2 linked regions of the Saccharomyces cerevisiae S288C genome follow. Each later gene encodes a partner of the first gene's protein in a complex. Each region holds a gene or a part of one and is shown on either strand. Other genes may lie near its edges. The genes, in order: SIP1 and GAL83.

Evidence for each region.
Region 2: SIP1 (region 1) and GAL83 share a complex: the UniProt entries of both Saccharomyces cerevisiae proteins name them as parts of the SNF1 kinase complex.

What each region holds. Positions count from the first base shown.
Region 1 is NC_001136.10:1,314,496-1,319,301, reverse strand, and holds SIP1 (Sip1p), read left to right. Parts: upstream 1-1,528; coding exon 1,529-3,976; downstream 3,977-4,806. Other genes in the region: CAD1 (Cad1p), read left to right, coding at 27-1,256; ARO80 (Aro80p), read right to left, coding at 4,410-4,806. UniProt on the Saccharomyces cerevisiae protein: Beta subunit of the SNF1 kinase complex, which is required for transcriptional, metabolic, and developmental adaptations in response to glucose limitation.
Region 2 is NC_001137.3:208,204-211,799, reverse strand, and holds GAL83 (Gal83p), read left to right. Parts: upstream 1-1,567; coding exon 1,568-2,821; downstream 2,822-3,596. Other genes in the region: MIG3 (Mig3p), read left to right, coding at 1-1,108; CHO1 (CDP-diacylglycerol-serine O-phosphatidyltransferase), read left to right, coding at 3,326-3,596. UniProt on the Saccharomyces cerevisiae protein: Beta subunit of the SNF1 kinase complex, which is required for transcriptional, metabolic, and developmental adaptations in response to glucose limitation.

The sequences.
Region 1 (4,806 bases):
AGCAATGGAACGACCAGTTAAGATAAATGGGCAATATCCTTCGGAAAGGTCAGCAAATATATTTAGCAGGTGACATGAAGAAGCAAATGTTGCTAAATAAAGATGGAACACCTAAGAGGAAGGTGGGCAGACCAGGCAGAAAAAGGATTGACTCTGAAGCTAAGAGTAGGAGGACTGCCCAGAATAGGGCAGCTCAACGAGCGTTCCGAGATAGGAAAGAAGCCAAAATGAAGAGTTTGCAAGAGAGGGTAGAGTTACTAGAACAGAAAGATGCGCAGAATAAGACTACCACGGACTTTTTACTATGTTCTTTAAAAAGTTTACTGTCGGAAATTACAAAATATAGAGCTAAGAATTCTGATGATGAAAGAATATTAGCCTTCCTCGATGATCTGCAAGAACAACAGAAAAGGGAAAACGAAAAAGGAACAAGTACAGCAGTTAGCAAGGCTGCAAAGGAATTGCCATCGCCTAATTCAGATGAAAACATGACTGTGAACACAAGTATAGAAGTACAGCCGCACACTCAAGAGAATGAGAAAGTTATGTGGAACATAGGCTCATGGAACGCTCCCAGTTTAACCAATTCGTGGGATTCTCCCCCCGGAAATCGAACAGGTGCCGTTACCATCGGTGACGAAAGTATTAATGGTAGTGAAATGCCAGATTTCAGTCTCGATCTTGTCTCCAATGATAGACAGACTGGTCTAGAAGCTTTAGATTACGACATTCATAACTACTTTCCTCAGCACTCTGAACGCCTGACCGCTGAAAAAATAGATACGTCAGCATGTCAATGTGAAATTGACCAAAAGTATCTTCCATACGAGACAGAAGATGATACTTTATTCCCCAGCGTGCTTCCCCTTGCTGTAGGGAGCCAGTGTAATAATATTTGCAACCGCAAGTGTATCGGGACCAAACCATGTTCAAATAAGGAGATCAAATGCGACTTAATAACAAGCCACCTGTTGAATCAGAAATCTCTAGCTTCGGTGCTTCCGGTGGCTGCTTCTCATACTAAAACAATTCGAACCCAATCTGAAGCAATTGAACACATTAGCAGCGCCATATCGAATGGAAAAGCGTCTTGCTACCACATTCTCGAAGAGATCTCCTCCCTACCAAAATATTCATCGTTGGACATAGATGATTTATGCAGCGAATTAATAATCAAGGCAAAATGTACAGATGACTGCAAAATAGTAGTCAAAGCTCGCGACTTACAGAGTGCTCTGGTTAGACAGCTCCTGTAGCATATAAACATATCTTGAGTATACATAATGTTGGATGAGAGCATGTAATATTGATCGCTTTGTACGATGATTATACCTTTTTTGTCTTTTTACCATTGTCTCTGATGGAATACTATTGACAATTAACAATGGTAGATATATCCGATACAAGTGGATACCTACATAAACAAGGTGTCTTACCTAGTGTTTCTTTCATTTGCACTTCTTTTTTTGCGTGTGGACTGACATCTTGGAAAGTTGAACTGTCATATTATATAGTTGTTGCAGCCGCCATGGGAAACAGTCCTTCTACTCAGGATCCATCGCATTCAACCAAAAAGGAGCATGGACATCATTTTCATGATGCATTCAATAAAGATCGTCAGGGAAGCATAACCTCTCAACTGTTTAACAATAGGAAGAGTACTCATAAGAGACGCGCCAGTCATACTAGCGAACATAATGGTGCCATTCCCCCTAGAATGCAATTACTTGCATCTCACGATCCATCGACAGATTGTGATGGGCGCATGAGCAGTGATACTACTATCGATAAGGGCCCGTCCCATCTATTCAAAAAGGATTATTCTTTGTCCTCTGCCGCAGACGTAAATGACACTACGTTGGCCAATTTGACTTTAAGTGATGATCACGATGTGGGTGCACCCGAAGAGCAGGTGAAATCTCCGTCGTTTTTGAGCCCAGGTCCATCAATGGCCACTGTCAAACGAACTAAAAGTGATCTGGATGATCTGTCTACTTTGAATTACACCATGGTTGACGAAACAACAGAAAATGAAAGAAACGACAAACCACACCATGAAAGGCATCGCTCAAGCATCATAGCTTTGAAAAAAAATCTTTTAGAAAGTTCAGCTACTGCTTCCCCTTCTCCAACGAGGTCTTCATCGGTGCATTCAGCATCACTTCCCGCCTTGACCAAGACGGATTCCATTGATATTCCTGTAAGACAACCCTATTCAAAGAAACCATCTATCCATGCATACCAATATCAATATCTCAATAACGACGAAACATTTTCTGAGAACTCTCAAATGGATAAAGAGGGAAACAGTGATAGTGTAGATGCAGAAGCAGGCGTACTTCAAAGTGAAGATATGGTTTTGAACCAGTCTCTTTTACAAAATGCTTTAAAAAAGGATATGCAACGTCTTTCAAGGGTGAATTCCTCTAATTCAATGTATACTGCAGAAAGGATAAGCCACGCTAATAACAATGGAAATATTGAAAATAACACCCGTAACAAGGGAAACGCGGGAGGCTCCAACGACGATTTTACCGCACCTATATCTGCTACTGCAAAAATGATGATGAAACTGTACGGTGATAAGACCTTGATGGAAAGAGATTTAAATAAGCACCATAATAAGACAAAGAAAGCCCAGAATAAAAAAATAAGGTCGGTTTCAAATTCGAGAAGATCCTCATTTGCTTCTTTGCATTCTTTACAATCAAGAAAGAGTATCTTAACAAACGGTTTGAATTTGCAGCCTTTGCATCCACTACATCCAATTATTAACGACAATGAAAGTCAATACTCTGCACCGCAGCATAGAGAAATATCGCATCACTCTAATTCCATGTCGAGTATGTCTTCAATATCATCAACAAACTCCACCGAAAATACTTTAGTTGTTCTAAAATGGAAAGACGATGGTACCGTGGCTGCAACCACGGAAGTCTTTATAGTAAGCACGGATATTGCTTCTGCTCTTAAAGAGCAAAGAGAGCTTACCTTGGATGAGAATGCAAGTTTAGACTCAGAAAAACAGTTAAATCCTAGGATCCGCATGGTTTATGATGATGTGCATAAGGAATGGTTTGTTCCAGATCTTTTTTTGCCTGCAGGAATTTATAGACTGCAATTCTCCATCAATGGTATATTGACTCACTCAAATTTTCTTCCTACAGCTACGGATTCAGAAGGCAATTTTGTCAACTGGTTTGAAGTATTGCCCGGTTATCATACGATCGAGCCATTTAGAAACGAAGCAGACATCGACTCGCAAGTAGAGCCAACACTGGATGAAGAATTGCCCAAGAGACCGGAACTTAAAAGATTTCCTTCTTCCTCTCGAAAATCTTCCTACTATTCTGCTAAGGGTGTTGAAAGGCCAAGTACACCGTTTTCAGATTATAGAGGCTTAAGTAGGTCCAGTTCAATAAATATGCGTGACTCATTTGTACGTCTGAAGGCTAGCAGTTTGGATTTGATGGCCGAGGTCAAGCCTGAGAGGTTGGTGTATTCGAACGAAATACCAAATTTATTTAATATAGGTGACGGCTCTACGATTTCTGTAAAAGGAGATTCTGATGACGTGCATCCCCAAGAACCTCCCAGCTTTACACATAGAGTTGTTGACTGTAATCAAGATGATTTATTTGCTACTTTACAGCAAGGCGGTAATATTGATGCAGAAACAGCAGAGGCGGTTTTTCTAAGTAGATACCCAGTTCCTGACTTGCCCATATACCTGAATTCATCCTATCTGAACAGAATACTAAACCAAAGCAATCAGAATTCAGAATCACATGAGAGGGATGAAGGTGCGATAAATCATATTATACCCCACGTGAATTTGAACCATTTACTGACAAGCAGTATTAGAGATGAAATAATCAGCGTAGCTTGCACTACTAGATATGAGGGGAAATTTATCACTCAAGTAGTTTATGCACCTTGTTATTATAAAACACAAAAGTCTCAGATCAGTAATTAGAATCTCAATTCGCAATGATTCTCACGAACTCTATTAATTCAATTTTTTTCTTTTTGATTCCTATGGCTCCTAGAACGTTTGCATTCCTTTTTTTTTTGTTCTAGTAGGTATTTCACGTCACGTTTCTGGCAATCCACTTCTCAGCATGCGTGGAATATACTTTAACATATCCAACGAATTTGCTGCATATTCTTATGTAATAGATAGCCGTTCCTAATGTGTAATGGCCTGCTTTGTTATAGAAATCATATATAAGTAGTGATTGAGCCGTAAAATCATCTCATATGCCCAATGGAAAACCAGTCATAGTATTATGAAGCATTCGCATTATTATATACCTCCATCTTCCCCTGTTATTCTGTCTTTGTATTTAAAATCATTTTTACGAATAGTGCGGTTGTCTTGGTTGATGACGTAATTCTTTGATATCTACTTATTTACGCGTTATTGGCCTTGAGTTATTAATATCATTATTGATGTTATTACTATTCACGAACAAGTTGTATAAATTTTCGAAATTATTATTATCACCATCTCCACATTGCATATATCGTTGCTCAATAAGTTCTGTCCATGGTTCTACAAATTCAAGCCCGATATCTTCACTAGCACCGAACCAATCTGTAACCTCGTCAGATAGAGATGGACCTTGGAAGAGTTCATTGTTCAGTAACGCTGTTGTGATATCGTTGTTTTGTTCAACAAAAGGATCAACGATACCTTTAGAAGATGTATCATTTGAATTCTGAGAATTGCTATTAATTTCCTCCGTCAAAGGCCTTTCCGAGGGTTCAAAAGTAGTCTCGGTTTTATTATATCCAATACGTTTA
Region 2 (3,596 bases), on another chromosome or scaffold:
CCACAGACTTGAACATAAAAAAAGGCACGGAAGAACGCACACTGGCGAGAAGCCTCACAAATGTACCGTTCAGGGCTGTCCGAAAAGCTTCAGCCGAAGCGATGAACTAAAAAGACATTTGAGGACACATACTAAAGGCGTCCAAAGGCGCAGAATAAAATCCAAGGGCTCGCGAAAAACCGTTGTGAATACTGCTACCGCCGCCCCTACCACCTTCAATGAAAACACTGGTGTTTCGCTCACGGGGATAGGTCAATCTAAAGTGCCACCTATTCTTATCTCCGTTGCTCAGAATTGCGATGACGTGAATATACGAAATACTGGAAATAATAATGGCATTGTGGAGACACAGGCACCTGCAATTTTAGTGCCTGTGATAAATATTCCAAATGACCCTCATCCGATTCCAAGTAGCCTCTCCACTACTTCTATCACCTCCATTGCATCAGTATATCCCTCTACTTCTCCATTCCAGTACCTGAAAAGCGGGTTTCCTGAAGATCCTGCATCTACACCGTATGTACATTCGTCCGGAAGTTCTTTAGCCCTGGGTGAATTGTCTTCAAACTCCTCTATATTTTCGAAATCTAGGAGGAATTTGGCCGCCATGAGTGGTCCTGATTCTTTGAGTAGTTCTAAAAACCAATCCAGTGCTTCGCTTCTTTCTCAAACTTCACATCCATCAAAGAGCTTTTCAAGACCGCCAACAGACTTAAGTCCTCTGCGAAGAATCATGCCTTCTGTAAACACAGGAGACATGGAAATTTCAAGGACAGTATCCGTTTCGAGCAGTTCATCATCACTCACTTCTGTTACGTATGATGACACCGCGGCTAAAGACATGGGCATGGGAATATTTTTTGATAGGCCACCTGTAACACAGAAAGCTTGCAGGAGCAATCATAAGTACAAGGTTAATGCTGTTAGCAGAGGGAGACAACATGAAAGGGCACAATTTCATATATCTGGAGATGATGAGGACAGTAACGTTCACCGCCAAGAATCAAGAGCATCCAACACAAGTCCCAATGTATCATTGCCTCCGATAAAGAGCATTTTGCGACAAATTGATAATTTCAACAGTGCTCCTTCTTACTTCAGTAAATAAACAAGCAGTAAATAAAACGTATAGAATATAAGAAGGAAAATAACAATGGGTTCTTGAAACTTGATATACTTTTTCCTGGAATGAAGACGCAAAGAAAACCTTTGGAGAAAATCATTGCAAATTTAAAAGCTGTGCTTCAAAAAACCCATGTGAGACTGAAACATGGTCCAGTGGTCTTCATCCGGACCGGTTCAAAGTCCTGCTCTACCTTCAATAATTTGTCTTTACCGTTAAAACACAGGCCACGCTATTTTTTTTGTTGCACTAATTTTCATCCTTAAGCGACCAATTTGCTCCCCTTTGGAAAAGCTCACGAAAAAACGTGGCAAAGAAAACAATACCGATCTCGTAGGATTTGGGCCACTGTTGTAATCGCAAGTAGAGAGCATCCTAGATAAGAGCTACTATATTTTGTATAAGGTCGTTTCCTGCACAATAATAAATTATCTACACTGAAATATGGCTGGCGACAACCCTGAAAACAAGGATGCTTCCATGTTAGATGTCAGTGACGCAGCTAGCAACACTACGATTAATGGTAAACATAGCGCCGATTCAACTAATGAGGCTTCCCTGGCGTACACTTTTTCTCAAATGAACGTAGATAATCCTAATGAATTAGAGCCTCAGCATCCTTTAAGACATAAATCGAGTTTAATTTTTAACGACGATGATGACGATGAAATACCTCCATATTCAAACCATGCGGAAAATGGTTCTGGGGAGACCTTTGATTCTGATGATGATATCGATGCTAGCAGCTCGAGTAGTATCGACAGCAACGAAGGCGATATCCACGATGCAGATATGACAGGAAATACCTTGCAAAAAATGGATTATCAACCATCTCAGCAGCCTGACTCACTTCAAAATCAAGGCTTTCAACAGCAACAAGAACAGCAACAGGGCACTGTGGAAGGCAAGAAAGGAAGAGCTATGATGTTTCCAGTTGACATCACTTGGCAACAGGGGGGTAATAAAGTGTACGTTACTGGGTCTTTTACGGGATGGAGAAAGATGATCGGGTTAGTACCAGTCCCTGGACAGCCTGGACTTATGCATGTAAAATTACAGCTGCCTCCAGGTACTCATCGTTTCAGATTTATTGTTGACAATGAGTTAAGATTCAGTGATTATTTACCTACCGCAACCGACCAAATGGGAAACTTCGTCAACTATATGGAAGTGAGCGCACCGCCTGATTGGGGCAATGAACCTCAGCAGCATCTGGCTGAAAAAAAAGCGAATCATGTAGATGATAGCAAATTGAGTAAGAGACCTATGAGCGCTCGCTCGAGAATCGCATTGGAGATAGAAAAGGAACCAGATGACATGGGCGATGGTTACACTCGTTTTCACGATGAGACCCCCGCTAAACCTAATTTAGAGTACACTCAAGATATACCTGCTGTGTTCACCGACCCAAATGTAATGGAACAATATTATTTGACACTTGATCAGCAGCAAAATAATCACCAAAATATGGCCTGGTTGACTCCTCCACAACTGCCACCTCATTTAGAAAACGTCATTTTGAATAGTTACTCAAACGCGCAAACTGATAATACGTCTGGCGCCCTTCCCATTCCGAACCATGTTATATTGAACCATCTGGCGACAAGCAGTATTAAGCATAATACATTATGTGTCGCATCCATTGTTAGGTATAAACAAAAATACGTGACCCAAATACTGTATACACCATTGCAATAGATATGATTATAGAGCTTATAGCTACATCTTTTTAGATAAAAGCGAAGATGTTTCTGCGATTTTTCCATTATAGCTCTCCATGATACTAAATATCAAGGTCTACATGTAAGTATTTGTATATATGGGTTGGAATGTATATACGTATATACGTACGTACGTACGTATATGCACATAATTGTTACGGGATGTATATATAAATTAGTAGCATTATAGAAGATATCCCTAACATCAATCCCCACTCCTTCTCAATGTGTGCAGACTTCTGTGCCAGACACTGAATATATATCAGTAATTGGTCAAAATCACTTTGAACGTTCACACGGCACCCTCACGCCTTTGAGCTTTCACATGGACCCATCTAAAGATGAAGATCCGTATTTTATAGGAAACATTATAAATAAGGAAAGAGAGATACACCTATTTTTTTCATTTTGTGGGTGATTGTCATTTTTAGTTGTCTATTTGATTCAATCAAAAAACAAAAATAAAACTATATATTAAAAAATGGTTGAATCAGATGAAGATTTCGCACCTCAAGAATTCCCACACACGGACACAGACGTTATCGTAAATGAACACAGAGACGAAAATGACGGGTATGCCTCAGATGAAGTTGGTGGCACATTAAGCAGAAGGGCCTCAAGTATATTTTCTATAAATACAACTCCATTGGCCCCCCCTAATGCTACTGATATCCAAAAATTTACAAGTGACGAACATCATTTCAGCATGATGAGGAATTTGCATATGGCAGATTACATTACTATGCTGAATG